Linked DNA regions of Lepisosteus oculatus. The protein of the gene in region 2 interacts with the protein of the main gene of each other region in a pairwise test. Links are inferred from orthologs where the notes say so. Each region holds a gene or a part of one and is shown on either strand. Other genes may lie near its edges.

The links. The genes of interacting proteins can lie anywhere in the genome.
Region 1: the proteins of lsm3 (region 2) and U7 snRNA-associated Sm-like protein LSm10 interact in binary tests that used the Homo sapiens proteins (3 or more experiments, as listed by UniProt). The link is inferred for Lepisosteus oculatus from reciprocal best matches to the Homo sapiens genes LSM3 and LSM10.
Region 3: the proteins of lsm3 (region 2) and clns1a interact in binary tests that used the Homo sapiens proteins (3 or more experiments, as listed by UniProt). The link is inferred for Lepisosteus oculatus from reciprocal best matches to the Homo sapiens genes LSM3 and CLNS1A.

What each region holds. Positions count from the first base shown.
Region 1 is NC_090706.1:4,891,146-4,900,712, forward strand, and holds U7 snRNA-associated Sm-like protein LSm10, read right to left. Parts: upstream 3,828-9,567; 5' UTR 3,647-3,827; intron 3,575-3,646; exon of another isoform or gene 3,554-3,574; intron 2,932-3,553; 5' UTR 2,926-2,931; coding exon 2,554-2,925; 3' UTR 1,950-2,553; downstream 1-1,949. Other genes in the region: oscp1b (protein OSCP1), read right to left, coding at 5,828-5,947, 6,446-6,509, 6,761-6,900, 8,515-8,584, 8,812-8,940, 9,264-9,367. UniProt on the Homo sapiens protein: Appears to function in the U7 snRNP complex that is involved in histone 3'-end processing. Increases U7 snRNA levels but not histone 3'-end pre-mRNA processing activity, when overexpressed. Required for cell cycle progression from G1 to S phases.
Region 2 is NC_090699.1:59,412,453-59,423,589, reverse strand, and holds lsm3 (U6 snRNA-associated Sm-like protein LSm3), read left to right. Parts: upstream 1-6,435; 5' UTR 6,436-6,492; coding exon 6,493-6,513; intron 6,514-6,981; coding exon 6,982-7,092; intron 7,093-7,470; coding exon 7,471-7,566; intron 7,567-9,801; coding exon 9,802-9,882; 3' UTR 9,883-10,121; downstream 10,122-11,137. Other genes in the region: gamma-glutamyl hydrolase, read right to left, coding at 105-243, 1,321-1,405, 1,536-1,586, 2,387-2,501, 4,009-4,111. UniProt on the Homo sapiens protein: Plays a role in pre-mRNA splicing as component of the U4/U6-U5 tri-snRNP complex that is involved in spliceosome assembly, and as component of the precatalytic spliceosome (spliceosome B complex).
Region 3 is NC_090700.1:9,905,383-9,915,884, reverse strand, and holds the start of clns1a (methylosome subunit pICln), read right to left. Parts: upstream 4,450-10,502; 5' UTR 4,109-4,449; coding exon 3,990-4,108; intron 3,447-3,989; coding exon 3,310-3,446; intron 1,483-3,309; coding exon 1,357-1,482; intron 831-1,356; coding exon 720-830; intron 1-719. UniProt on the Homo sapiens protein: Involved in both the assembly of spliceosomal snRNPs and the methylation of Sm proteins.

The DNA.
Region 1 (9,567 bases), on a different chromosome or scaffold from region 2:
TGGCAGCCAGTTACTGTATATCATGTTTTATAGCTCAAGGCTTTATTGTTTTTGTTGTTTATTGCTCTTAGTCAGTGACAAGGTGCGCTATCATTTGTTTACATGACTCAGTAGTTGAGATCCGGACTGTGCGCTTCCTGGAAAAAAAAGAGGTTTACGTCCATGTGTACAATGTACTTTGGTGCTTTGCCATTCTGGAAACCACAGCGATACGAGACACTCATGTTTGCACTGGAAGGCATGCATAAACAAGGGGTCAAACGGTCTGATAGAAACTGAGCAATGGTGAATAATTGTTTAGATGTTATGTTCTGTACACTATATCTCTATAGCTGCCTGAGTTTGAACACCAAAGACAATAAGAGTTAGCAAGAGAGCTTCCAAAGTACGCAACCTACAGAACGTTCAACATCCTGCTACTTTTTTGGTGTCCTGCCTCCCTGAAATTGCTGCAGTAATGTTACCTACTGTCCAAAATTAATATTTAGAAGGCTCGCATTAGATGTATTTGTGAGGTACATGATGTATTTGTAAGGTTTTCAAACTTTTTAAAGTGATGACCCCCTAATGATGACCCTCCTAATGTAAAGTATAATGTTGGGTACTAAGAAAGGAGAGACATCCTAGTTCTCTTCTACAACTTGTAGAACTGTAAAAATAAAAATGTTAAAACAACTTTGATAACTGTAATTTAATCTTTAAAACTAACAAAATGGCAACTCACCTGAACACAATACTTGAAAACATTGTCTTACAGTATCTTCCAGGATGATATAATTTTAGGGTGTACATCCCTGAAGCAGAAATGATCATTCTTCACTTAAATTAAAAATGAACATATGGTATTAACCTAAAATCCATGGTGTTTTACTTTTTATCTCTCAATTTACAGTAAATTTAAGACCACTCACTTAATCAGGAATCTTTACTCTCTGTGCGTGCACATTGCTACGATTATGAAACAGACAAACGTGGAAAAAGAAGCAGATTGTTTAAGTCTCTGCTATTTCGTCAACAGGATCATAGCATATCGTATTTGTCTGCTTTAATGCTTCCTGTTGATAAGCACTAAAATGTGTGCAGAGTTGTCGCTACCATTGCACAACTTTGTATGTATTCCAAACAGCCGTGCAGATCAGATGAGGACTGCTTTGGCTGTCCTTAAACATTGCACAGAAAGTGGCTCGGGTCACAGCTCATTCACCTCCGGTATTTTCCATGTGTGGAACTCCTGAGATTCCTCCGACTCTTAAAAAGAAGCTGGTCTTTTTGAATGAGCTTTGATTTGACAAAAGTGTGCCACACTCACAGGTTCAAATCTCTGTACTGTACTCTCATACACACTGGCATCATCAGTGTTCCAAATAAGTTCCAAAAGTAAAAATATCAAATTTTACACAGCAGGATATTTATAATAAATACAATTTATAAGAAATACAAACAATTCATATGTGATACATTTGTGCAAGGCTTTAGATATTCTGACATTTCAATGCATTTCTTCTTGGTAGAAATGAGTTTATATGTTATACATCTGTATATTTTTTTATGATGATACTGCATTATCACCCTTTTTACTGGAAGTACTAAAAGCCTAACCTAGTTAGCAGTGGGTGTCTATCAGACGCCCACAACATCTCTGATCGATTTGGGGGTTTTGGTATTGCTACACAGAACCAAAGACACTGTACCTAATGAGCCATTTAAGCAGCCTGAGTTTCAGGGTGTGGGAGGGGAAAGACAGTGTAGGAGTAGGACAAGATGACAAACTCAATCACCGGATCTGAAAAGCAAGTGAGCTTTATCAAAGCAAGAAAGTGTTTACCTCACTACAGCTTTGACTGCATCTGAAACCCAGCTTATCTCCTCCCTTCAGAAACACAGCAAGGTGTTGTTTCCTTCCTTATTTTAAATTAAGCCGTTTTTTTGTGATATAAAATAAAACCAAGAAAAGAAGAAGATTTTTTATTAAATCAAATGTCATCAATTCCGAGGGAGGATTAATTCCAAAGTAGGCAAACCCTGCAAAAAGCTGTAATTTTCACACAGTTTCTGGGTCTTCAAAACACACTTTCGTAATCTTTTTGTGCAAAAAAGGCAGACATTTCCTTGCTGATTTTTACCCACAACATCCAACTTTTTATATAGTTTTATTGCAAGAAACGTCTCCTAAAAATGCATTAAAAAATCAAGCGTTTACTTTCAGCGTTTACTTTCCGGATTTCATATGAAAATAGTTTGGTGTTTTATTTACAGAATTCGAAACATATCCTTGACACCCTACATAGCCCTTCTTAAAAGGCAGTCTGCCGCACGTTGTCGTCAACCTCGGTCACGGCGTTTAAAAACAAGGACAAGATCATTTGTACAGCAGTGCATGGCCTCCAAATCCAAAACCACAATAGCTTCTGTCACGGTTTATAAAGAAAATCACATTTCATACAGATATTTTAACACATGACCAGGAAATCCCAGCAGCCTCGACAGGGTAGTTTCACCTGTTGAGCGTTTGCCAGGCAAAACGAGTGTGTTGCGAGACTCGGTCGCGGCCCGTCACGTTTGAGTCTTCTTCAGGTACTCCTTTCTCCCTCCCCGGTCCCCACCGAAGTTCCTGACCCGGTGGATTTTCTCCAGCTGCTGCTCGATAGTCTTCATGATGTTCACTTCGTCCGGCAGGTGGACGTACCGGACATTCCGCCCCGTGACGAAGAAGTCGTCCAGCCGCCGCAGGCCGCCCCGTCGGTCCTTGTACACGACCTCCTCCAGGCGGACGTTCATGAACGCGTCCACGTTGACCACGCGGCCCCGGACCACGCTCTCGTCCCGGAGGTCCACCGTGGTGACGCAGCCGTGCAGCCCCTGCAGCAGGACCACCAGGCTGTTCTCGGCGATGGTGCGCTCCCTGATCGAATGGGACACCGCCATCGTGCTCTGTACGAACGAGTGACAGGTTTTTTTTTTAAAGGAGGGCAGAAGTATCCCCCCCCCACCCCCGGAGAATCCTAAAGAAACGCAGTTTAAACTGTACCAATAAAGTGATGTGCGTGCTGCATATTAAATGTCTCTACTGGTAGTAAGCCAGGAGCAAACTAGTTCAGGAGATCACTTGAGTCAAAGGTTCTTTAAAACACCATGCTTACAATTTGAATGCACAGGAACAGGTTTTTTTTTTTACCTTAGTAGCTTGTATGGCTTTATTCCATGCTGAAAAGAAGAGAGACGCAACGTTTCGGGCTGTGGAGTCTTCTTCTTTTCAGCGTGGAATAAACCTTTACCTGTTCCCTTTGCAGCCTGCGCATGCTACTCGAACGTCTTAAAATTTGAATATCGGGACGCGGGTTTTGGTTATCATTGACAGACAAAAAAACCCAAACACATGCACGTTTTCATTTTTAAAACGTAAAAATATGCTTTGCAAAATGCCTTGAAACATTCACGAGGTCGCGGAAATGATTGCTTGACCTAGTTCAGTAAGTTTACTTCAACAGTCTAATCATCTCGGTTATATAGTATTTGCAGTTCTATTTTCAAACTAGTTTCACTACTGCATTACGTCGTTCTCGAAGTCGCCCTGCGCCAATTAACCAAGCGAATCATAAAATCTGCCCACAAGGAAATTATACAATTAAAACCCAAACTTATTTACCTTGCATGTGTCTTTCTAGCACACTGATGATGTCAAAGAAGGCTCCTTCATTAGACGTCACGCCTCTGAAAAAAGATTTATGCAGTCATACCCCCCTCTAGCGGTGGTTTACTGCAAATACTTTGGAGTTTGTGCTGAAAAGTGGATTGCTTGTCACCTGTTATGCTGAAAACAGCATCTGTTTAGGATCCTAAGCCAATTCGAAAACAGAACATTAAGTCATGAATGTATGTTTATTGAACATCTCGATATAACTTAACAAAAAATAACTCACTGTACTAATCACAGTAGAGTCATTGAAATAAACATAAATAGCAATTGCACAGGTAATAAATGATTGTTTAGTTAAGCAGATTTACTTACCTTCTTTAAAACAAGATTCAAACAGAACATAGGTATTCTCAGGGCCTCATCAAAAAACAGAAAAAAAAACGTTTTTCCCTATAAAAATCATTTGATCATCAGAAGGATACACTGATGTTTTCACTGTGTTATGAAAGTCTAAAAATAAAAGTCTACAAGACACATTAAAATGTTTAGAATGCCTTATATCTTCTATTTCTTATATCTGAGCAACAGTCCAAGATTTGCTCATTGTAGTAGTCACATTCCACTTGTTTATTTTCTAGCTCCAAGATGTATACTTAACTTTAAAATCTTAAAAATCCAGTGTTAGATACGATTAAATCATTTTGGACCCATTCCTTTGGATGATAAAGACAAGTGCTTGTGTTCTTTGCTGAGTTCCCCTTTTCTACAACACATTCACTGAAATAACAAAACCTATAGACATGAAAACAAGAGAGTATACATACAGAGGCATCTTTACACAGACTTCTTAAATCTTGCCAGGAATCTTAGAAATACTATCTCATCAAGTAGAAAAAATAAAGTTCCTATGAAGCAATAGTATTTCTGTTCACAACAAAAAATAACAACATATATATAATGTTTCGGCCGTGAAGCCTTCTTCAGGTGTCAGGTATATATATTCCCTTTGCAAAATAAATCTCTTTACATCAGTGATATGAAATTTTCACAATGTAATATCATACCCACTGAATATACAATATAGCTATTCACTTGCTTCAATGTCTTCTTTCCAGCCACCACAGTGACTGAGACAAGTACTTTACAGGTTAAACAGCTGACCTGACATTAAAATAATAGGGTCCCACCAAAAAGAATTACCCATTACTGGCATGATCTACTGAGTAATGCCCTCACTAGAAATTTCATGATTGCTCATCCGTGTAAAAAAAAAAAAAAGACAAAAAGACTGTTATGAAGAAGATACTTTAAAATCACAACAGACCCAACTAAAACAAGCAGGTCTCGGCAGCAGATGGAAAAGAAGGCAAAGTTTTATTAAACTGTACAGATGGATTCAGCCTGCAACAAAGTTGAGACGGCACAGTGTCTTACAAAGTTCTAAATACAGTATCTACATTTGTAATTACTTACATTCATATGTGTTCGCCAGTAGGAAAAGGCTTATAATGGAGTTAATTTTACGGAATAACAAGTTCCATAGTTTCTATTTTCTATTGGTTTTATTACATATGTTGCTACTTATTGTTTTATAGCTCATGAAAACTTTCCTGACCCTGACGTGAACCACAGCAGTTGGATATACAGCTGCACGACATGCTGATTCGTTTTCAATGTTCACCAAAACCAGTCAAAAGGGCTCATGGACTGGCTTTCCCGGGTCTCGTTAGTCAGAATACTCTGATCTACGCTACTGAGTGAAACCATTTTAAATAAACAAAAGACTTGACAATCTAAACTGAAACTGGCACGCTCCTACGTCTCTCACCGTGTGAATCGGAGTCTTCCCCAAAGTGAACTGATTTATCCAATCAGGGAACATCTCAACCCCTTCCTGGAAACCACACCGAGAGGGGCTGAATATTTGTTTCAAGTGGCTCATGGTTGCTGGGTTTCATCTTACAACTCCTGCACACTACTCTTTCTCCCCCCGTCACCTTTCCCACGAGAGTACAAAAAAAATCCTATTATGAAAATGACGAACAAAACGCCCTTATACTCGTAGTCTGAATGACTTCTTCACATTTTTGGTACCAGGCTAGCAGCAAGTCATGTCTGCACAGTGAAAATAAAAGTTTGGTGATTGCAAGATCCCTCTAGTCTTCCTGTCCCAGCAGCCTCCGGGAAATGTCACAGGCCATCCATCATGGCCAGCAGGTTGTCCCCCTTGCTGCCCGGGCTCTGGGCCGGTCCTGGCTCTTCCGCGAACTCCCCCATGATACGAGCCAGCTCTGCGTTCGCATGCTGGTCCTGACATTGACAGACATCGTCACCGACAGGGAACCACAGCACAATCACAGAACAAGAAGGCTGATTAATCTTGATTAACTTTGTTTTTCTTTAGCTCAGAACATGAAACATCAAGAACATTTGCAGCCTTAATTCTATGGAATTACCATACTGCAGGAAGTCTCTCTCCAAAACCAATTCATAATTGGTCTCCCTGTGGTCTTTTACTTCTAGATTACTTGTTTTTGGGTATGAAATGTAATACAATAAAAACTGCTAATTTTTGACTCCTTTGATTTTTTAGTTAACTACATTAATAGTACCCATTTTACAACAGAATTTGCTTAACCAGTGTTTTCCAGATTCACTCTCCCCATGCTTGTCTTAGGGCAAAGCGTTGGCCTTATGTTTGGATAAGAAAGTAGTATAGTTTTGACTCCAGTTCTAACTTCTGTTCAATTTGCATGTTGTTAAAAAATTTAAAAAGCCAACTTGAAGTGTAATAAATGCTATTCTTACCTTTGTAGCTTGTATGTTTATAACCTGGTATGAAAGTTCTGGAGGCCTTGATATCAAAGCTTCCCTGTGAAAAAGTAAAATAGTAAAAACAGAGTGGTTTCATAAGACATATAAATTCAACACACATTTCTCACAATCCAACACACATCAGTTACAAAATATAAACAAAATACTAACTTGCACCTTCATCTATACAAAATGAGTTTCTATCTCAAGACATCTCAAAGTTTTGTTTTAGTTTTTAATGTAAATGTGAAGGAATTAATATATTTGGGTGATCGGGGATTATAAAAACAGAAAAATCAGAAAACATACTCTTCTTCCTCGTCTGTTGTGAACAAGTTGACCCGAAACCCTCCATCAGTATTTGCAGGCTTCTTGACTTCCAGACCTCCCATTAATCTGGCCAGCAGGTTCAGCTCTTCTTTTGCAAGAGGATTAGGGGCAGCATTTTCCTGGGGGATCAAACGTTTTAGTTTCAGAAACAGAGATATTCCCAACAACAGGCAGTTCACCTTTCATTTGGAGTTTCACTTTTTTAATTTGTACTCTATCTTACTGACGAGCTCCGGAATTACTTTAAAGCAGCCATATCACCCTGCAACCGATAACTCACTGAAACTAAGCAGGTGTGAGTCTAGAAGGGAGACTCCCTGGAGAAAAACTAAGGTTGCTGCTGGAAGTGGTGTCAGTGGGACCAGTAGGGGGCGCTCCTAATGCCCCAGTATAGTGTTGGGGACACTATATTGTAAAAAGGCCTCGTCCTTCGACTTAAATCCAAGGTCCTGACTCTCTGTGGCCACTAAAAATCCCAGGGTGTTTCTCGAAAAGAGTAGGGCTGTTACCCAGAACCCCAGCGTCCTGGCTAAATTTCCGATTGGCCTTTACCATCAGTACGCCTCTCCCCCAATCAGCACTAATTCTCTTGCTAGGCTTGGTGGAGCTTGTACAGCCTGTAGCATGTCAAAAGAATGTCAGTGATAGGTTTTTTAAAACAAAATAACTAATAGTGGAGTTTCGGAGACACAGGCCGCAGACTCACAGCCCACTCAGTATTGATGGAACCACCAGCTTTAGGTTTTTGGGAATTCACATTTCTAATGATCTAACCTGGACTGTGAACATGGACATTATCTTGAAGAAAGGCTCAGCAGCACTTCTATTTTCTGAGGTGCCTCAAGCGATGGGGGATGCCACTACCTGTGTTGGTGAACTTCTACCGCTGCACCATCAAGAGCATCCTCATTAATGGGATCACCGTGTGGTACAGCAACACCTCTTCTCTCGAGAGAAAAGCACTGCAGAGAACAGTGAATGTGGCCCAGAAGATCACCGGCCGTGGTCTCACAGAGATTAAACAGCACTATGAGGACCGCTGCTATGGTAGAATTCTGGCCATCACAGAGGCCAGTCACCACCCCGGACATGAGCTCTTCACCCCACTGCCCTCAGTCAAGAGATATAAGAGCATATGGACACTTACCACCAGATTCCTCAAAAGCCCACAAGCAGCGCGACTGGCGAACACATTTGGCCATGCCCTTCGGACCACACCTACACCATCTACCTCATTGTAATTTTATTTATTGCACATCTGCAGTCATTGTTTACATTTGAACTGTTTACTTGTCGACTTGTACAGTGTCTACTTTTTGTTTGTATATTGCCTTGATGCACTTTTTTTTAACAATCGAGAGACTTTCTGTAAGTAAGAATTCCATTGTACCAGTACTGGCAATAAGGCTCAAGTTCAAGTGTTGAAGGTGTACATCTGCAGATCATCAGGGCAATTCTGTAGATACAGATAGCCACAATCTGAATTTCAAGCAATTGCCAATTCCAGATTACGAAAAGGATCGACACTTGACAAGTTTATTTCCATTGATTTGATAATGTCTGGGCATTTCCAAGAATAAATTTGCAAAAAATTAAGTTTGGAAAGAGCATGTCAGCCATTCCACAGTTAGAAGTACTTTCTGTTTCTGTTAGGACACCCTCTGAATTAACATTTGCTGGAAATACATTGGAAAAAGACATCAGGTCCGGACCTGTGTGCTCTGTCATCTCACCTTGGTGTGCGACACAGAGCTTTTGGATGTTCCTGACATGTGTGTTTCCACAGGGCGGCTTACACTATACCTGTAATACAAGATGCAGCATAAACATTTTCAAAACCACTAGCAAGTAACATCATGTTACACTGCGGGCTGGAATGAAACATCAATCATCCAAAGGCAATCAGGCACTTCATTTCTTCTAGCTGTATCTGTAAATGAGCCTGGTGTGTCAAGGCTCATTTTTATTACATCCCTGTTTAATTATTACTGAGTTTTAATTTGAGTAGTAAATGTAGTAATGATACTTACATGTTGGTGCCCAGTTTAATTACTCTTTCACCATAAAGGTCAAAAGATCCTTCCCGCAGAGGACTTGTATAATTTCCTCCGCTAGGGAACTCTAAGCTTTTCACTTCTTCACCACTGCCATTGAATATTCTAAGAAAGAAATCACAAAAACAAACCTCGCACTTAGACTATTACTAATCTTAATGATAAAAAAGTGTGTTGTAAGTCAAAACAAACACTTTAATTAACCGCAAAGAATACTGTCTAATCCAATCAGGAAAACAAAGTCTACAAACACAAAGATAAATTATGTAGCTCAAAGATTTTCAAAACTATTATACAGTATATAACAGAGGAATATCAATTAATCCTTAGCCATTAATCCTTCAGATATTCACATGGTTTAAGATCTTCATTTAGAACATTAAGGAGTAACGTAACCTACTGCAGGGTATTGTCAATGAATACACTACCTGATGAGCCCTGGAAGTTCAGTTCCCCAAGGAACAGGCCCAGATGTAGGCAGCACAAACCGGCCATTGGAATTCTGTACTTTGTCTTTTAAAAAAATGGACACCTGCAGACATAAAAAAATTCAGCATATTTTTTTGTTTGTTTGCACTTACTAACAGAGCGCACATTTCTTTGGTGTGGATGTACTGGATATAATAATTTAATTGGTTACCAAGATCCCCATTAAGTCAGGTGTGAAAGCTGGGCTACTAACCTTCAGTTGAACAAAGACTTTGCATAAGCTTGATTTTTTATCAAGCACCA
Region 2 (11,137 bases):
AAGCCGTGACTATTTTTCCATGGGTCTGCAAATAATGAATGCAAGAGGGATGAGTTATCCTCTGTATGAAGAATCAAAGGAAGGATATCAATATGAGTTCTCACCTGAAGTGAAGGTCAGAGGCAGAGCTATGGCCTTGGTGTCAGTGAGAGTCAGGAGATTTTTGCCACTGGTGAGAACGGTCATCTCCTGGAATCCTTGACAGGTTCCCCAGATGGGAAAATAATCTGATGCATCATTTGCCTAGAAAACACCCCAGGAAATGTAAAAATGCACATCAGCCTGGCTTTTCTTGGGATTTCTTCGGTACGAGAGGAGTGAATGTCTCCCTTTCTTTATCTTTGCATAAACCCTTTTGTTTCTCACTGTCACTGTCTACATGATGTGCCACACCCACGTTCTGCCTTCTTACACAAGGATGTCTACGAGGCCATGGGATGTTTCTGTCACATTATACACATATTCAACTTTTATTTGACTGATTGAACAATTATTTCCTTAGTTGAACACTAGTCCCTTGTCCAAAACATATAGGTATGACGTGTAGTACATACTGGATTTAAGCAGGGCGAATTACAAATTAAAAAAGCATACATCATGTCAACATACTACGTGCCTGTGTACCAAAAACAAAGTTCTGTATTGTTCAGGACTCACTCCACAGAATCCCAGCGGCTGTAAAAAGTTTCTAATGCCAGGGCTTTTTTCTTCTCTCATGCTGTTGCAGCCTTGATTTGCATATACCTTAATTAACATCCTCACTTCATTTCACCCCTCTGAAGCTTTTTTTTACAAAAATAGTGATGAACAAAGGTTTAGTTTTCTGCCCATCCTAGAAAAATGGTTGGATTGCAAGGGATAAAAAGATAAAACAGCATCTTAAATCTAAGTATTAAATATGTTACGTACTGTACTTGATAAATTACCTAAGATCAATTCAAATCATGATCAACTGTCCATCTGTTTAGTTGCCTGTAATGTACGGGCTGGAGGATCTCATTCAGCCATTTGTTGAAGGGTCCTAGGGGTCAGCTTTGACAGTGTGGATCTGCAGCTTATTTGACACTGATACATTTTCATACAAAGTCATCCCCCCTGTTCAAAGTCCTAAATCTTGGCTTTTACTTTATGACTGAGCAATACATAATCTATATTGTTCACCACTTTAATCTCTTCTTATGAGTGACTAGTAAGATTCACTTCGTATCATTTGTTATATATTCTGTTAAGACCCAGATTTGTTTTCTGGTTGCTCTTTTTATAAAATACTACTATCATACTGTCATACTCATTATCCATTTAGCTGGAAATTGAACATACCTTTATTGCCAAGTCATAGAATATTCTGGATACTCTGCCAAACTGGGAGTTTTCAAGATCCACATCTCCACCGGGAAGCAGTAATCTACAATAATGGAGAGTACACTTGCACTTCACACAGTTCTTATGATGTGTATATATTTTAACAGATAGAAATGGCCATCTTCAAATGTGAAAAAAAAACAAACATATGAAATAAATATTAAAAAACATACCCATTTATAGAATAGAATAACTTGGTGTATTCTTCCTTTGTGCGGTTTATTCTGTGAAATGACAATGACAATGTAAAAGCATTACAAGATTTAAACAAGCTTTGTCTTTTCTTACTTTTGCACATCTTACATCTGTTCTGAATGTCATCATCTTTAGTCCCAAATCAAATCTCAGCATACATTTTAACATGGTTTCCTAGTCATGCTCAGTTCTGCCTTAAAAACCTTACCTATGTTAATATTCAAATGTTCAAATGCTTCTCTGTTTCCTTCTCTCAAGAACAAATTGTAATTGTTAGGAATCATGGAAATCTTTAATACTCATGATTTAATTTCATGTTTTAACCTTTTAATTTGGTGACATCTAAGTTTGTGTCCTTATCCTTTATGTAGCCATAAATTTGGAATGGCACAAAAAGCATTATGAAAGTGGATTTTAGGCATTTACACTTATTGTGATATACACTATACTATTGTGAGAATGGATGGTACCCACAGACATTTATTCATTCAGAATTAGTTTGTTCTTGACAGAAAAAGAGGTTCTCCACCAAACTAAGTTGTTTTGGGCCGCTGAAATAAAACAGTCCAACACGGACATTGTCTGTAGTCATTAAACTACTCTGATGGAATCAGAATGTACTGTACAACTACCACGCAGGTATTTAACAGAGCCTGTAATTACTTAACTATACAGTTTCAGAAAACAAGACAAGAACGAACAAAGGTTATGTTGATTTAGTACAGTTAATGTTGCATGAATACGCCTGCAATTTCCCAGGAAACAGAGCAACTGGTGCTTTTTTTTTTCTTTCCTGTCTGCTCTACACTCCTGAGTGGAAAGATCTTACCTGAGTGGCACAACCCTGGCTCCAGCGGCCTCCAGATATTTCACATATGAAGCAGCAATGTAAGATGAACCCTGTGCGTGAGGGTCACTGGGAAGATTTTCTTGGGCTACGATCCCTGTAGAAGAAAAAAAAAACGTCTGAAAAGCTGACTCAAAACAATTGAAGGAGTAAGAAGTATCCGTGTTGCCAGATTGTCTGAAAGGCTCGGATGCCTGTGTTGTCACTAGAATTTTGATCATGTAGCTCTACTTCTCCCCAGGACAGAACAATATGTCATAAACATTACATGAAAAGCCTTTAGCATTGCAACGTCATCGGGAATAAATATTAAGTACGGTAATATGTTTCTGTAATACATGTAGCTATGTATTTTTATCATGAATTGGTGATTGAACAGTACTGTACCTCACAATGCCATGAATGTAGACTATATATACTGTACATAAAATGTAAAGTACAGGTTTGAGTAGGAAGCTGTTAGTATATTCATATTAATACTTATATGTGGAAGCTTCTGTAAAGAAAGCTCCATAATTTCAGTTCTTACTATGTATCATAGTGTTGATGTCCATTTCTAACTCATCTAAAAGGTTTCAAAATTTGCTATCTGTAGGCAGTCCATCTCAGTTCAGGTAACTGAATTTTCAATTGCACTCCTGAATTCTGCTGACAGCTGAACCCTTTCCAAGCACCTTTGTCTAGGAATCCAGAAACCCTCCAAGAACCTGTATTCATCCTATTATTAATTTATACCAAATAAGAGAGGCACTCAGCAGTTCTAAAAATATATGAGAAAATCATATAATCAAAACTATAATTATAAACAAGTAGAAGGGAACATGGTTTATGACTATTGCATATTCTTGAAAGTTCTGATATTGGATTCTCCAGCGTAAGGTACAGTAGGTAACGTGGTAATTCAAGCAACTTCTATCCAATAAAGCAGAATAAGACAAACTTCTCTACAATGTAAAAATCTCAGCTTCAATTAAATTGTTTATTAGCTCAGTCACTTTGGACCTATTGAAATCTCCCTGAGCACAGGAATGTCTCTGGTGATCGAAAATAAAGAAACTTCTTTATGTTGGAAAATGCATATTTCTCTGATATAATGTTCAAAACAACGTCGTAGAGTCTACCCTGGGATTTAACACTTTTTCGTTTAATTCTAACAGCTATTTTTTATTTGAACGTTTCACTAAGAATCCCTTCTTCAGTTTGCCGAAAATAACGTGCCATTTTCAACATGTCACAATAATTAAAAATGTTTCCAAATACCAGAACAAATCTTCCCACGCGTATCTGATATATAAATCCGAAATTCTATGATAAGACAAAAATACATGCAAGTGTAAAATATAAAATCTTAACATCCCAACCTTTTATCAGACAAATACTTCACGCATGGTATTACATAACGACTTGAAATTACACTGGCGGTAAAATACATACATTTTCTACAATTATAGATGAGCTCCAATTACTGTATACACCTGCGCATTTAAATGAATAAAAGGTGTGGACAATCGTTGGCTCCCTTACAAAAATAACCTTTGAGAATTTTTAAAACACTCAAAAAAAAAACGTTTAGCAAAATAGTAGCCTGAGTGATGTCACCTTACCAATGATGGGTCTGTAATTTGGAGAAAGGCTAGAAAACGCTGGAATCGGGAGATAACAGATGACACCGACCATCACCGAAAGAACAATAGCCGAAGAGCACATGATAATTTCTGAACTGAGAGTCTTTAAAAAAAACAAATAAACAACTGAAGCCCCTAATTAAATTAGGCCTGATATACAGTATATGCGTATGATATTGAACGACAAAACCGAACGACCTCACTGCGCTACCGTCTATAGCTGCTGCAAAATGCTCAGCACGCTGTCATCTGCTATTTCAAAGTAAAACTTAACCCGTTATGTCCCATTACTGTATTAACCCGTTAAGAGGCAACCTGATGTGTTGTCTTCATTGTCATTTTTTTTCTTTTTCGTTTCACTAAAAAGTTGTCTGACGGGAGGAGTCGGCAGTCTTGTGTGGACTAATCTTGCCAGCCTTCATACAAGGAACATAAGTGGTATAGACTGAAATTGTTATTTGTGAATGAGTTGCATACAGTATTTGGGTTTATTTTCCTTCTTTGTTATATCAAACAAATGCCACCTTCTATCTAAGTTTATTTGTCCCTTAGGCCAACATTGCTGGAAGTCCACAGATGAGACCACTTCTTTCATTGCTAGATGATGGCCTTCCCTAGATGATTTTATACAATATCTGCCTTCGACTTTCCACTTCCTTCTGGATTCTGCAAACTCATTATCTTTTGGTACAGTGTAGTACTGAACCTGGCCTACCATAGTTGTATCTGATTGGAGTGACAGTCATATGAGAATATTTATTGTATATAGGCTACTATGCCGTTTCATTCCTTGATAATGTCATGCAATTATATATCATGGTGTTGTAGATAAATTGTGTTTATGTGTATATCATAAAGGCAACTATGTCTATTATGTATATTGACTGCCAAAAGAAACCAATTATAACTGTAACAAATGGACAGAGGGAAATTACTTTTTTGTAGCATGCGTACTGACATTTTATTGAACAGACACATCATAGTTAAAGTCCATATAGTTTATTTTCAGAAAATAAAGTTTATTTTGATGCTTAGTACATACTTTACATAGACACTCCATGGCTCTTCTGTGGTCCTATCAGACTGCCTTACCTTGGTCATGTGTAATAGCAGTAACACACCAACAACTCCACTACATATCTGACTGAAATAAGGGGGAAATATAGGTAAACTAGATTGTGCAAGCCCAAAGCATATTTAGCAAGGTCATTGGCGTGGACATCACTACTCCTACAAACAGTAACACTGGATATTTATGGGCCATATAGTCACAACCTTTAACTGACAATTAGAAATGCCACAGTTCTACAACTCTCCAAGTAATAAATGTAAGTCTGTTTGGTCAGTAGTAAATTCAGAAGAGTTTATTTTTTAACACATGCATGACACCCCTGTAAAATTTTAAAGGTCCACATTGTGCTTCCCAGTTAAAAAATATGTTTAAATCACAAAATAGTGCAAGCTGCTTTTCACTAAACATCTCAGTGGTTGTGTTTTTTTCATAAATCCCTGAAGCAAAATTTACAGCTTGTACTGATCACTGTCAACGGAGCTAATTTACCTTGTATTTAAATTCAGCAGACTACCAGTTGATAATGTACAATATGTACAATATGAACTTGGCAATGCTTCTGTTTTTACCAGGTGTTGAATGAGAAGTTCTTATAAGATTCTTTTCAAAAGACTGGCAATGTACAGTTTATACTTTGAAATAATCAAAATTACAATATTTAAAAAGTGTGTTAATAATGCATCGCACACCTAGAGTTATGTTATACTGGTAATTAATAAAGATGAAATTACTGCTGAAAGGGGAATATTTTGTTGTAAAATAAAACTGTGAAACACTAGATATACAGTAAATTCCCAGTAAAAAAAAAGAGATTTAGTATCTGTTTGAAACTTTTTTCTAAAATATTTATCTTATCTTTGAGTACCTGTGTGAAGTTAGTTATTCCTTGCTTTTTGTTCAATGTTAGTTACAAGGGACCAGTCTGTGTTAGCAAACCTATCATTGCACTGCAGTAAAGGTGGGAAAAGAAGAGAATATTTCACCATTTATTAAACAGAGAGAAAATCTTAGGAAGGTAACATTTAGTAACACTGAATTACATTTTTAGTAAACGGAGACCACCCCACGTGTACATTCTTACAAACAATGCCATATAATCCTTAAATACAAAAAGAAAACATCCCTTGAACTGTATCAGCATCTGGAAAACGTAACAATTATAATCCCAACTGGTGAAATACAACACCACCATCTTGGTCTTTGGCATCATTTAAAAAACGGAACAAAAATGTTTAAGTGCTTTTTCGTCTTTATTTCAGCTTCGTTAGCCCCGATCTTACTCGCCTCTTTCACTACACTTATTAAAACAACTGATCGTGTCTCTACACATGTCAATAAGAGGTTCTCGCGATAAAACGCACGCTCACAAGGAATTCTGGGAAATTTGAAAGATGGCGGATGAGGTGGACCAGGTTGGGATTTTTTTTTTTACTTTACTATATATTTTTGAAATTCCTGTTTATATGTCTTGCTTGTGATCAGAGAGTGTTTTGTAATGTGATTTTGGCTTTCCGCAAAACCAGAATTCACGTCTATGTGGTGATGAGAGTCGGTAATCTGGATAATAGCCAAAACATTGCAGGAGCGGTAAAAATGAATTGAATTAGCTAGGTGTTTTTTTCTGAAATAATAAGTGGTGATATGGGATGCATATTATATAGCTTTTGGCTTTCTGTATCTTTATATGCAGAAGTGACTAAATACAATGTTCTTGTAAATCAACACAGACGTCATATTAGATTACTGAATCCTTTTAAAATTAAAAAAACAGATACTAATGTAATTTGTATGGCTTTAGTTAGAGGCTCCAGTTTACACAATTTAAACCTTAGGTTTATCTGGACAGTGCACTGTACCGAGTTTTTGTTTTCCTGTTTCAGCAACAGACTGCCAACACTGTTGAGGAGCCTTTGGATCTCATCAGGCTTAGTCTTGATGAGCGTATCTATGTGAAAATGCGCAATGACAGAGAGCTAAGAGGAAGGCTACACGTGAGTAACACCATCTCCGTTTTAAGGCCAGTAAACGGGGAATAGCGGTTATAGTGCAATCTAAAAGATGTTAGTGGCTATATTGACAATTACGTGAATGATTTGTTTTCTAAGACTTTAATTCCATTGTGATAGTACATTTGATTCCATGCTTTAGAATTGACCATTGCTTTAGACAGATAAATTATTAAGTTGTTTGATTACTAGAATCAGCAGCTTTTCATGTTTTGTAATTAAGATTAGTTAGTGTTTTTACCACTTAGCAGAATCAAAGGTAACTCTATGTAGAAGACTTAGGAATTGTTCTGAAGAACTCAGTACTAAGGTTATGTCATATTTAAAATAGAATTGAAAATGTTCTATATTGATTTCTTTCAGGCATATGATCAGCATTTAAACATGATACTGGGAGATGTTGAAGAAACAGTAACCACGGTAGAAATTGACGAAGAAACTTATGAAGAAATTTACAAAGTGAGTTTTTTTTAATTCTTTAAATAAACTATTAATATCTTCCCCCTTTTTGCCACAAAATCAAATCTTCAGTTTTCGCTCTGACTGTACCGAACCCAAGTGACAGGAATGTAATCCTCACAGTTGGAGAAACATCTTCTTGCGTTTTCTGACATCCCAGTTAGAAATGGTGAAGCTTAAAGAAGTTTCCCTTATCAATCTCTTCTTTTTTTATTTCTCTCTGACTACTCTGGTTTGCCTGTGCTGCCTTTTTCTTTAATTACTGCTTCTTACCTTTTTTTTAAATGATTGGACCATCTCACTGAATATTGGTATAGTCTACAAAATATGTTTTCTTGACATTTTTTGTGCCACATGTCCCACTACACATTAGAGTGAAAACGTGTAATTAGTGGTTTAGTTATTCGGATTGGTGTAGGCTACATCATACGTGTACAGTTCTCTGTTTAGATTTGTCAGATTGCACCTTAACATTCAACTTTCCTTGTGAGAATGTGCATTCAGTACCAAAAAATGAATAAGTGATTCCCAATTAGTTTGAAAGAATCAATAATACCAGTTGGAAGGTATGAGACCGTTAAGAACGTTAAAGATTTTACTAACCACTATTTTTCAACACATAAAAGAAACAATGTAAGATAGTTTTTTTACCGGGTGATAATATCCCCAGATGAACCCATTATATATATAATATCCCCATTATTCTAGCAGAAACTTTGATCTGCTGATTTTGTGTTTAAGTATCTTCTCAAATATAAAGTGTCTTCCTTTTCCTCAAAAAACAGAGGCACCATCTACTGTCTGCTTCTGTCGAGTGCCTGCTCATGTCTCTTTCTCAAGTAAATGTTTGTCTTAGAGTCTAAACACGTTTAATGTGTGTTGATGACTTGTTTGAGGTGCAGGGTGTGTAGAGAAAATAGCAAGCATACATTTTGCATATCTGCCCTGAAATTATAATCGGATTCAAATTTCTGCAGTCCTGTTAGGTTCAATTGATAAAAACTATAAAATAAAAATATTGCAAGTTGTGTGAAAAGAAAATGTCATTATGCAACAATTGGTTCATTCAGAAAAAATAATTCAGGCATTTTCATGTTACGTAAGTAACATTAAAAATGTGGTCATTATGCACTTTATGCCAAATTACAATTCCTTGGGTGTCAGTTAGTTAATAACCAAATTAGATAATGCAACCAGCAAATCAACTGTTGTTGTTTCCAGGTCCAAGGAAAACAGTATTTTGTTAATCCCTGTGGTCCTTCTGGTTCATGTAGTTCTTCTGGTTCTGCTTAATGTATTGGGTACCAGCAGAAGTGATTTTAATTTGAGGTTTTGCTACTATTAATGTTCTCATTTATTTGAAGATAAGAACTTGTAATGTCATTGGAAAGCACCTTGACTTCACATACAAAATATGCATAACACCAACAGACAACCTGACATTACAAAAGAACTGGAGTTTTAGGACTATTGAGCCGATTAATCCATTTTGGATTGATATTTAATGTTTACTGGTAATTGTTTACTGAATTAGATTGCATGCAATCTAATAAAATTGCTTCTGTCGTAACTGGAAATTCATGTGAACAAAATTATACATTAAGGAAAAATAGCTGAGAATATGAAAAAATCTAAAATGCTAAGCATAGACATCAACGTTTTAGCTACTGAAAGCTGTTTGGAAACCTTTGCTTCATGCTTTTTATTTCCTTTCCTCTCAATAAATATCTTGAGCATTTTGTACTTTCATTGAGACAATGTTATGCTACTGTGTAGTCTGCCTTAATAATGTATCATTAAGAAAATGTACTCTGAGGAGCTTATTCCAAACTATCTAAGCGTATTCTTGCTTTGCTACATTTGTCCAGAGTACTACTTTCCAATATCCTCCTCACTGTCTTGTATGTAGCCTTGGTCATAAATTAAGGCTGTAATCTATCAATAGTCATAACCTTAGCTAAAACTTTTTTTTATTTTTTTTTGCATCAAACTCTGGTTTAATGCAAGGAGCCATAGTATTCGTCAAAGTTAAAATTCCAAAAGTAATGCTTAAAGTGGTGTGGCTCTTTCTAATGGGTTAAATAAGCTCTTAATAATTGTAGCTCTAAATAATAATGGTTGCATGATTTACTTTATTTACTTTTTTGAAACTATTTCCAATATTACATGTAATAGATTCACATGCACATTGCAAGTTTAGTCATGTTGTTAAAAGATTGTCTTTTTTCATTCCAGTCCACAAAGAGGAACATCCCAATGCTGTTTGTTCGGGGAGATGGTGTAGTTTTGGTTGCTCCTCCACTCAGAGTTGGTTAGACTCCATGAGTTCTGAAGGAGAATGCACTTAAGATGCAACATAAGAGAGATTTTTGATTTGGACTGTTTACCAATGGAGTTACGTAATTTTATAAAGAAATCTAAGTTAAAAAGGAGACTTAGTCCAGCTCGTCAGTTTTGATGTAAAATACCTTCTTGCTAGCTTAAGAAATTTGCATTTTTTGTATTGTAACTAGAATCTGTAAAGATTTTTTTTTCTCATTAAAAAAAGAAAATAATTTGTGTGGTTTATTCAGTGACATTTGATGGTGTGGTAACCACTTGCTTTTTGAGGTCACATGGAAGGAAATTGTGCATATCCTCAGAGAAAATACATATAGATTTTCTAGGTCAATTTTGTGTGCCTCTGTATTTTTAAATTGTTGTTTTATTTCATATCTGTGCATCAATGGGTGTAGAACCTTGTCAGTTGCCATTGGTGTACAGTTTTTTGGTTTGACCAAAATGCAGGGCTACGATTGGGAGTGAAACAAATGAATAATTGTAATGATGTTTCCTTGGATGAGAACACGTAAATATGCAAAATCTCATGCATCTTCTTTCTTTAAAGGTTGTTTAAAAATGTACAGAGTATATGGAACTGGTTTTGTTTCAGAAAATCTCTGAATCTGATACCAATTTATAAATGCAATTGCAGTCTAAATGTATAAATCAAAGGAAGTCTAGTGATAATCTTCCAGATATGCTATTGTCCTCAAAAGCCAAAGCCCTGAGTATTGGTGTTAATAATGGCCTGCGATCTCAGCTGTGACTCAAGACAGCACCATGATTATAGTTGAATATGCAATGGCAAAATATATACACTTTCAAGGAAGGGTTGGCATAATTAGTTTTATATTGCTGTGCGATAGCAAGTTTCTCAAGACTGGAATTGTTCTTGAGGTCTTTAATAGATGTTCAATGTGGTCTCAGTGTTGATGGTGATTCTGTCCTGGATGTGGTCATGATAAGCTGACATCATTTTGTATGGCCTCTGCAGTTATCTGTCTAAAATATACATCCATTTGCCTGTCCTGGTGAGCAACAGGTGGTGCAAGGTAAGGTGCCAGCATGCCAGTCCATCAGAGGAAAGACTCATTTTCCAGGATGGAAAATCCTAGGAAAACTAGGAAAACGAGTAATTCCCTTACTTGCGTAGCACGAGGTGCCCATTTCCCATACATTAAGGACACAGACCATCAGGTTTTGTAAGTCTATATCTTCAGCTTCTTAAGAACATAGAATTGCTTTAACT
Region 3 (10,502 bases), on a different chromosome or scaffold from region 2:
TCGCATTACATTACTCATTGTGGAGACTAGTGAGCAGGAAGTGCCGCATCACATCGTAATTCGTGGGAACTCGGATGCGAGTTTGCAGCCACAGGCCACTTGCAGTAGTTTCACAGAAGTTCGCAATTTGGTGCTCAATTCAAAATTTGTACAATTTTTCGTCCATTTATTTTGTTAATTAGATTGAATAACCGGTCTGAGAAATTGGGACTGCAGTTCCCCGTTATAAAACCCCCCAAAATTTTTAAAACCTACAAACAAATGCAAATCAAACAAACATTGCCGCTGACTCATCAAGGGCTGGTTTAAGAAGAATGGGAAAACTCCCGATTTCAAATATGGAATCTGAGGTGTGGAATTTATAACATAACATCACTTTATTAGCCCTATACAATTATTAGGAAGTTTTCTTTTCGCATACCCCAGCTTGCTCTCCGTGAGACACAGACACACAGACAGGGAGAGAAGCCTGGGGTCAGAGCGCAGGGTCAGCTATTGTACAGCACCCCTGGAGCAGCTGGGGTTAAGGGCCTTGCTCAGGGGCCCAACGGAGTAGGATTCCTCTGATAGCTGCAGGATTTGAACCGGCAACCTTCCAGCCACCGGCGCAGATCCTTAGCCACAGAGCCACCGCACCCCAGTCTAAAAAATGACAGCCATTCACTTTAAAATTGAAACAAGGTTTTACAGGAGTTTGTCCTCCAGGCCCTATAACTCACCAGCTTCCTCCACATCGTATTCCTCTCCTTCAAACTCATCATCGGAGTCAGAGTCCTCAGGGTCAGGGTGCAGTGCCTGGCACTCACACATGGCAGAGAACATGGGCTCCACTGCAACACAGAGAATAGGCTTCGCTCTCAGGGTGTCTTCCACAATCTTGCCAGGATTCTCTTTCAGGACCGTTCCAGAACCCTATTCATGCAGTTTCCCACAGGCCTCTACAAACGCATCACCACCTCTAGTTTCAACCTTCTGACTATTTTCCTCAGCATTTTTTTCCCTACCACCTTAGTCTTCAGTGTAAATATTAGCTTTTCAGCATATATATTAGCTTTTCTCATCTTTGTTAAAGCATCCTACCCTGTACACCTTTCACCCTGTTTACTCAATCGTAAATCCTTCAAAAACTCCTTCCATAGTCTAACAGTTACATGGTATTTGCCGTTTACTGTAAACTAAAGTTATAAAGCACACCAGCTGGGACTATACACAAATTAATCTGCTCAGGGAAAAACACAAAAACTTTTTACCCCCCAAAAAACAAATTACAAACACTGACAACTACGTAGGCTATCATACGTACTGACAGGTTGAGCACCCGGCACAGCACAGAAGGGAAGATTTTTCCAAACTCACACGCCATCTTATCACTGGGAACAAATCGGATTTCTGTGATGGGGTCCGAGTCGTCATCGCTCTCATCGTCCTCATCCTCTCCTTCAGCTGCTTTCTCCTCCATCTGAGATTCTGTCACCTCTTCATCTAGAAAGGGATGAGAAAATCAAGCCAGGGCCATGCTTCCTCTACAGAGAGAGAGCCAAAGGGGTCTAATTGTACTTGCTGGCTTGCACTGCGCAGAGAGCCTAGAGCATGATCATTTTGGTCCGTCTGTCCTTCCAAATGGTTCAGGTAAAATTAAAACTTGGTTTAAGGAGTGCCGTTCTCCAGTGCCTGGAAAGGGAAGCGTCACTTTAAGAACTTTCACAGAACAGTACCGCAGGCAAGCCTCTCAGACTACTGGGACTCTTGTTTCTGGGAGACCGGCTTTGCACAGCTCAGATTCCACCACCATAGATGCACAGCTAACAGGCCAAACAAGCAAAAAAGAAACAAACTTCCTGGCCCGTGATCCAGTATAATTCATGTTAACTTCAATGGGTTTGACCAAGTGAACACCAACATGGCAGAGATGGCATTAAGCCAAAAGTGGGGGCTGGGGCTGGATTTAGATGAAAGGCACTGTTACTGTAGCTTGTAAAAGGCTCATGTAGCAGGCTTTAGAGAGAGCCCTTGCCAGTCTGTGCCCCTCAGTGGAAGGTATGTACAAGGCCTTATGATTTATGGCACTGCTTCGCTGTTCACTGAGGTAACATCCTGCTGATTGTTGCTAGTAGGTACCCAAAGATAGTGCAAAGTCAATGTGAAGCTTTTGTAAGTTCTTTATATTTGAATACAAAGAAGTCCTGCTTTCATTTAAATAAACTAAGAGTGAAATAATATCCAGTCAAAAAGAGAAAAGCGAAGTTTCTTCAGATTTCCTAGTGGTAATCTCCTGTATCCTTGTGGAAGTAACCAGACTAGGCATTTGCTAGTTCCTAAACAAATCTTTTCCAGCTACACCAAAATAAACATCGGCACTTTATGGCAGCAAACACAAAGTACAATACCAGCTGTCTAAAATGTAGCATCACATTCATTTTAATTTTATGTTATAGCTGGGTGCTACTTATCTGTGCTCAGCAGCTTCCAGGCTTATTTAAATGTCTTTCTGCAGTGGGGACTGGCAGGAGTCCCTGGGAGTAACAATGCGCTTTTATTTCAGCAGAGGGCTATAGAACGGGGTGGAAATCTGTGCGGGGCTGTTCAAGACAGCTTGAGACTGTACGACCCTAAGGGAAGAAAGAACGGTCTCTTTGCTTCTCTCATGCTTGGAACACCAGGAGAATAACTCTACAGCAGAGTGCAAGGCAGCATTGACGAGCACAGAATAATAAACGCAGCCGCCCAAGCCACCCACTGCTGTATTGCGATGCCTCCACAGCTCCACATATCTACCTGCGATATGGCCATCAAGGCTGGACTCGCCTGCATATTCAAAAGCCTGTTCAGTCAATAATCAGCATTTGAGGTGGCATGAAAGACCACAACTCTTTTCCTTTACTGCACAGGGTTTATTCCCCGATCTTCCCTTCAAACCGTTTTCAGGTAGTTACAAAAAAGAGTGCCATGCTGGTGCCAATTTAGTTCAGCCGCAATGAATGCACGAGTATGTTATCCAGAACCGAACAGGCACACTTTAGCCCTTCATGTGCTTGCTGGGCAGGACAAGGCTGTACTGTATTTTTTTTACACTATGTAGAATATTGATGGGCCTGGAGAAATAGGTTTATTGAATCCAATGTATTCTCAAGAGGGAGCGTTTTTCCTCCTCATAACTGTTCAAATCGGAGCAAATCACTAAACTACTTTATTCCAGCCCCCAACTTCAACTGTAATCCTTACGATTGCCAGTCGATCGTCCCTTTCTAAAGATTTTTTTTCTTAGTGTCAGCTGTCCCGTCATCATTCATCAACAGCACGCCGCCTCACCGCTCAGCTTGGCGTTGACCATGACGTACAGATGCTCCTGGGGATAGGCGCTGAGATCGCGGGAGATGGCGTGGAGGCTGATGGAGGGGTATTCCAGAGAGAAGCCCTTTCCCGACACGTCAAACCACGACAGGCGGCTGTCACAAAACACACGAAAAGAAAGACGGTGGCGGATTAGGTGGGTGCACACGCGAGTCACTCCCTACACCCCCAACGTCTCAATCGCGCCAACTGCATAGGAGTAGTCCGAAATCACAGGCAAAACCACGATGACGCGATCTTTGTCTGCGGACTCGCAAATGTTGTTTTTTTTTTCCAGAAAGACTCCGGAGAAAGTTTTTTTGGCATCTGCTGATGATGCATTTTTACTGCTGGCACAATCGGAGAGGACGATCGTACAAAACGACGCATCGGAAAGAGTTGGGGGTTTTCCTTCTGGCGAGGGGTGCTTGGCCATCACAGGTGTAGCGCGCTGTCACGTGTTTGACATCGCACACCGGGCAGTGTCGCCTTTCCCCCTCAGATACCTGTTGATCATCTGGAGAAGCAGGGTGAGATGAGGCAAGAACTTTTTTTCCCACCCTAAACAGGTTTCTCTTTCGCTTTTTACACACATCAAAGGGGCAGGCGAAAAAGAGTTTTCAGTTGACCAGTCCTAACCCGTGTGATAGCGCACTTACTTTTCTGCAACGTAGAGGGTGCCAGAGCCCAGCCCCTTGCCATCCAGCACTGCCGTCGTTTCAGCCTGCTGGTGCCTGACGCCTTCACTGGGAGGGGAGACGTTTTTCAGCAAAACCATCGTCTTAAGGAAAAGTGCCGCGCCTGACCCCCCGTTAAAAAACAACGACACAGAAACAGCCCCGCAGATCGCCGAGAAAAGCCGGCCTAAACCGCAAACGACAGCGAGAAATCCGATCAAGCAGAGGGCAAAAAAAAAATAAAAATAAAAACTGCGATTCAGTTTTCACTCGCACGGCTGTATTTATAACGAAAGGCTGGAGCAAAAGGGTACAGTCCTGGTCTGTTTGTTTCTCCGTAAAAGTCGCCTCACTCCCGCAGTCGCTCAGTGGAAAACAAACCCCATGCTTCTCTAGGCTGCTTCTCTTCCTCTGAAGCTATCCCCCGCCAAACATATGGGCAAGCTTGCCCTGAAGTCAAAGACGTGAGCACAGCGCCAAAGAACGGTACGATTATTTAATAGCGCCATCTACAGGACTGGAGTTTAGTTGCACAATTGAAGACCTTAGCCATCTTCATCGTTACTGATAACAATGATGGTTGATTAATATCAAGTATTGGAGCATTGGTGATACAGACATATCTTGAACATGTATTTCTTACATCTTTTTAGATCTCTCCTCAAAGTGATTAACACGAATTTGGTATTGCCTAAACTGTTTATAAAAAATAAAACCAAGGTGAGTCTGAAAGCAGTAGATCGCAGTTGATTAAGTGTATTTCATAGTCATCTTCACGGATGTGACGGCTTATGTGCAGGTTAGACTTCAGATAACAGCTCTGCTAACACACAATTTGTAGGAAACTGCGATTTGGGTACAGAGCCCATTGTCGCAAAGATGACAACTGGTTAAGGCTAAAGGTTCTTAGGTTAATTAACTTTTGTGTGCTTTAGAGGTCATAATAAAGATACATTTAGAACACGAAGCTCAGTGACTGGTGGAGATTAAGTCACAATTTTATTATTAAATTCCATTTATATAAATAAGCACGGTGCTGTAGTTCATATGATCTTTCTAGATTTCTAAACGAGAGTGCAGAACTCTGGTTAAATTGCTTTTTAAAACGCAATTGCACCAAACACTGCCGCTATATCATGGTGATACTCTCTTTGTATCATGGTGGTATGTTTACGAACTGTATGTTTACCACCGCCCCAAAATTGTTTTAACAAGGAAATTGTGACAGAATCGAGTACAACATTACCTTGTTTTTAAAAATCTTGGTGATGACAGAATGATGAAAGGGTACCAGTTGTAGAAATTGCTATTGCTGTATGAATGGATTATCGCAAAAAAAAACCGTAATAACAAAATACCGCAAAAATTGAATACTTGGGGATTTTGAATCAGCTTTGTAAACAGACATACTGTAGGTTTGAGCTCACCAGAGTGATTTATTTTTTAAGAGATCGTATATTTCCCACAGACGTAAAATTCAATAAACATCGCTACCCGAAACAGATTGAAGTCTAGATTTAATACTTCTCTTATGACATCCACCGGGTTTGTAACGGTAAAGTAATTGGATGTGAATCTTCCGATGTTGACTTCCTACACAATGGAAAATATATAATAAAGCAATTGGCAGAGGCAGATACAGTACGCCTTTGTATTTTCGATTTCATCATTATAAAGCTGCTGTTTTCATACTTTGTGAACTTGATTCTACCGTCCTCGATTCCAAGCGTTACTTAAATGACACATAAAGCTACTTTAAAATGTCTTTTTAATGCTCGAAAAGAAGTGGCTGAAAACGCTTATAGCATCTATTGTTAACAGCAAAGACACTGCCCTCTGATTTTACTATCTGGCAGTAAAATTCACATACACATTCATTGAAGATACTTAAAGTGCAGAACCAGTACAGTCTTATAATAATAATAATTGCTTACACTTATGTAGCGCTTTTCTGGACACTCCACTCAAAGCACTTTACAGGTAATGGGGACTCCCCTCCACCACCACCAATGTGCAGCATCCACCTGGATGATGCGACGGCAGCCATAGTGTGCCAGAACACTCACCACACATCAGCTATCAGTGAGGATGAGAGCAGAGTAATGTAGCCAATTCATAGATGGGGATTATTAGGAGGCCATGATTAGTAAGGGCCAATGGGAAATTTGGCCAGGTTGTTACACCCCTACACTTTTCGAGAAACACCCTGGGATTTTTTAATGACCAGAGAGTCAGGACCTTGGTTTTACGTCTCATCCGAAAGACGGCACCTGTTTACAGTATAGTGTCCCCATCACTACACTGGGGCATTAGGACCCACATGGACCACAGGGTGATCGCCCCCTGCTGGCCCCACTAACACCTCTTCCAGCAGAAACCTTAGTTTTTCCCAGGTGGTCTCCTATCCAGGTACTGACCAGGCTCACACCTGCTGAGCTTCAGTGGGTTGCCAATTGTGAGTTGCAGGGTGATATGGCTGCTGGCTTAAGACAAAAATAAAAACCTACACTGGGAATTTTGCTGTAATATAGGAAACTAGTTAAGGCAGACAGGATGAAGCTTTTTATGACAAATTTACAAGTTTTATTTATACGAAAGAAATTACAGCAGGTTTAACAAAACGCTCTGAAAGAAAACAAAGAAAAAATGTTACACAGACTAAGGCCTGGAGCTAACATCTACGGCCAATGGCCTAGCTTATACACAAATATTTGACCAGACTGTAGTGAGACAACACTAAACACTTAAAAATATTGGCACTGATTTTCCATTATTTTATTTAGACCAACAATAATTGTGGAATTAAAGCAACAGAAGACCTATTTAAAATCTTGAGAGCACACAACATGGACTCAATTTAAAGTATCAAAAACAGTATGTTGGAGAAACTGCATGTACATCTTTCTCACTCCTGATAATTCAGTATTTTCTCAAATATTTTTCTCCAGCAGAAGGCAAGTCCCTTGCAAAAGGCTTTGATGGACATGAGAATGCAAAGCCTAAATATGACCGGGCACTATGTTCAAATGCTAAAACGAGGGTAAACAAATTAATTCAGGTAGGTAGCTGCGTCAGCATGCGTAGGCTGCAAAGGAAAAAGTAATAGGTTTATTCCATGCTGAAAAAAAGAAGAAAGAAAACTTCAAGAAGGTTCTACGGCCGAAAAGTTGTTTTCTTTCTTCTTTTTTTCAGCATGGAATAAACCTATTACTTGTTCCTAAACAAATTAATGGTAAGGTTGAGATATTTTAAAAAAAAATCAATTTTCCTTTTATTACTAACAAAATGTATAGTAAGCGCAAGACATACTATATAGTTTACAAAATATCTCTTGGTAAATTGCTGTAGTTACTCAGAAAACATGTAACAAGCACACTACTTAAGATCATTTTTGTCTAAGCAGTCGCTTTTGTCTTCAGTCACTTGGAACATGTCTCGTACATCTGTCAAAACACAAAATGATACATCCCAGACATACAACAGAGTATGTTTAATCTTTGCACTCAGATATTCTTCATCACTACAAATTCTGTGTAACTTGGTTTAGTATTATCTACACAGTTCGGTACCAAGAAATGAGATGTTGCTGGATACAAGTTAGGGAAAAGGGTGCAGGTCTGTGGGTTTAAACTCGAACCCTCAAGCAAAAAGACTACTACTGTCTGCAGGATGAAATCAAACACCATGCTGAAACTTTTTACATTACAAAAGTTGTGCAAAATATCACAACCCGCTACAAAAAATTATAAACAGTAGCAATTGTAAAGAATTGCTTTATATACCTTTTCATTATAAAAAAAGCTTCTAAATATGTTACAGCATAAACTACAAATATACACACAATTAAGAGATAGATATCTTTTTTTTTCTTTTCTCAAAGAAAAAGGGTTATGCCATTTTTGAGACTGTACACTTAAACTGAATGAAGTCTGCAGGGTATCAGGGTGATGAGTGCATCTTGGGCCCCCTCCAGGTATTCAATCACGCTAACTATGGTTTCAAAGCTACCCAGCGTCCCACCCGCGACAGGGCTGACGTCTGCCAAGTTTAAGAACCAGGTCACCTGCCACTGGAGTTCCAAGAGGGTGGCATCGCCTTCTGTAACAGGCTGAGGAACACCGAGACCTTTTGCATCAGAACTCCTTTAAAATGAGAACTCAACCGAGACAAGAAGGGTGCTCCATTTACTTAAGGGATCATAATTTCTAAAGAAACCACGGGTAACAGGCAACGTAACGAAAAATGTTTACAGCACATCTGAAGCCGAAATTGATACTGCACGGCACTGCTCTTACTCTAGGCAAGACCAGTGACAGGAGAAGGTGGGTGTGTGACCCTGTTTCAGAAATGTTCCAACATACAATTGGAATTGATACAATAATTGAAAATATTTAGTATAACAAGACTGTTGCAATATAAACAAAAAAAAAAACAAATCTGCATTGATGGGAAATAAAATCCAGCCACCTTAAAATAATACACTTCTTCAGTACCACCTAAAACCAAGAATGGAAAGTCTTTGACAAAGACTACTTGTAATATTGTTTTCTACGAGTTCTGCCAAGGCACCTGCTAATGGTACAAGACCATTTTCAGTGTTGTGAATTGGAAGTTGATCCCTCTTAACCACTCCATCACATCTGAAATCTAAATGGCTAAAGTAGGCCACAAAACGTTTTGCGAAAAGCGCAAGATTTCAAATCCAACATCTGGGGGCTACAAAGGGGCAAGTGGTGAAAAAAATCTTTCGGCTCCTCCTCTAAAACAATGTGTCGTTTCAATATGAAATATTTATCTGGCCAGAACAGTGGAGCAGGATTTGGCTGCTGCTGCTCACTGCAGAAAGGTGTGTAGTACTTTTCTAGAAGTTTGCAGGAATGCCCAATGACCAGAATTTTGAACACCGAGAAGTGTCTGAAGTGATTGTGGTTTTTCTCTAGTACCAGTCAAAGCTGGGATTCATGCCACTGAGAAAAACTATGATAATACACTTCTTTATGCTTTAGGAAATCAATGTGAGCTTCTATAGCTCCTTGACTAGTGGCAGCAAACTGTGCTTCAAACTAACACAGAAACATTATGAGATATTTTCTCCTGCAAGATGGAGAAATATCTTGAGAATGCCATGTCATTGCTATTGGTCCATTCTCTGTACTTTAGAATAAGGAAAAGTGAAACTCCCCATCATATACATCGAAGTACCTACATTATGTCAGGTAAGTATTGTCAATGAACTGATGAAACTGGTATCTCAACAGAGGATTGTCAGACAATGAAAAATTAAATATATATATATGATAAAGAACAAAAGCATGGTTAAATAAAAGAAACAGTGTGAACAAATAGGAAGTATATTACAGGGAAGGGGTGTTAGACAATAAGCAAGTTCCAAAATAATATCGCAAATGTCTAAGAAAACAGCTTAATGACAGTTTTTTAAAAGCAAAAAAACAGTAGTGATTTCTCAAAACACATTTTATGGCTAAATCTAATCCAGAGCACTTTTTATGCTTATGGATTTCATTAACAATTACCAAGATGCACTGAAGATTTAAAATGCATAAAAAGAAAGCAATATTGCAAGACGAAGGTAAATGTTTAGGGACAATTCAACATGTACATATAGTTCAAGGGAGATCTAACTTGATACCCAAGTGTGTAAAACAAAAATAGTTTTCATCATTACATTTTTTAGCATACATGTATTTTATTCCAAATGCAATTAATGTGGATTCTCAAAGATGTCCCTTACTTGTCTAAAAGTTTGGCATTTTAAGCATTAAAATAAACTGCCTTGGCTGATACTGTAAAAATGCACAAAAGTAATTAGGACTGTACTGATATAAGAAGGGAATAAACAAGGTAATTAATAAATTCAGACTTCTTCAAAAAGATAAAAAATCAAAAATAAAACAAAACTAAACCTCTTGAGAAGGTAAACATACTCACAGATAATGGACACTACAGTGAATAAAAACTAGTTTTTAATATAAATTTGTTCTGGGCCATGAGAAAACTTATTCAAGTGCCTTGGTGCTAAGATGTACAGCCTTGATCAGAGGATTGTTGCCTATAACCTTCTAAAAATCTTCCTTGCTTTCCAAAGTTTTTAACTGAGATTCTTAAAAGCATGCTCAATTCTCACTGAGTCACAAACAGAAATTTTAACAATGTCAGCTATTTCAAGAAATAACCCAACAGTTAAAAAAATATCAGATCATAGGCAGAAATTCACCTCAATAGTCAACAATAGTTGTAATAAATTATTTTTAAAAGGCCTATCTAAAACACAAAACGTGTGGGGAAGAAGTTTTGCATTTCAAAGATCACAAATTACAAAAATATGATAACATTGCTTCTTTAAAAAAAATGGAGGCTCTTTTTGGAAAAGAGACTGGAATACAGTACATGTATACGAGATAGCTATTAAACTAGCTAGTTAAAAGTAGTGAAGCGAATACCTTATGATGTGTACATAAGCCTAGTGAAATGTGC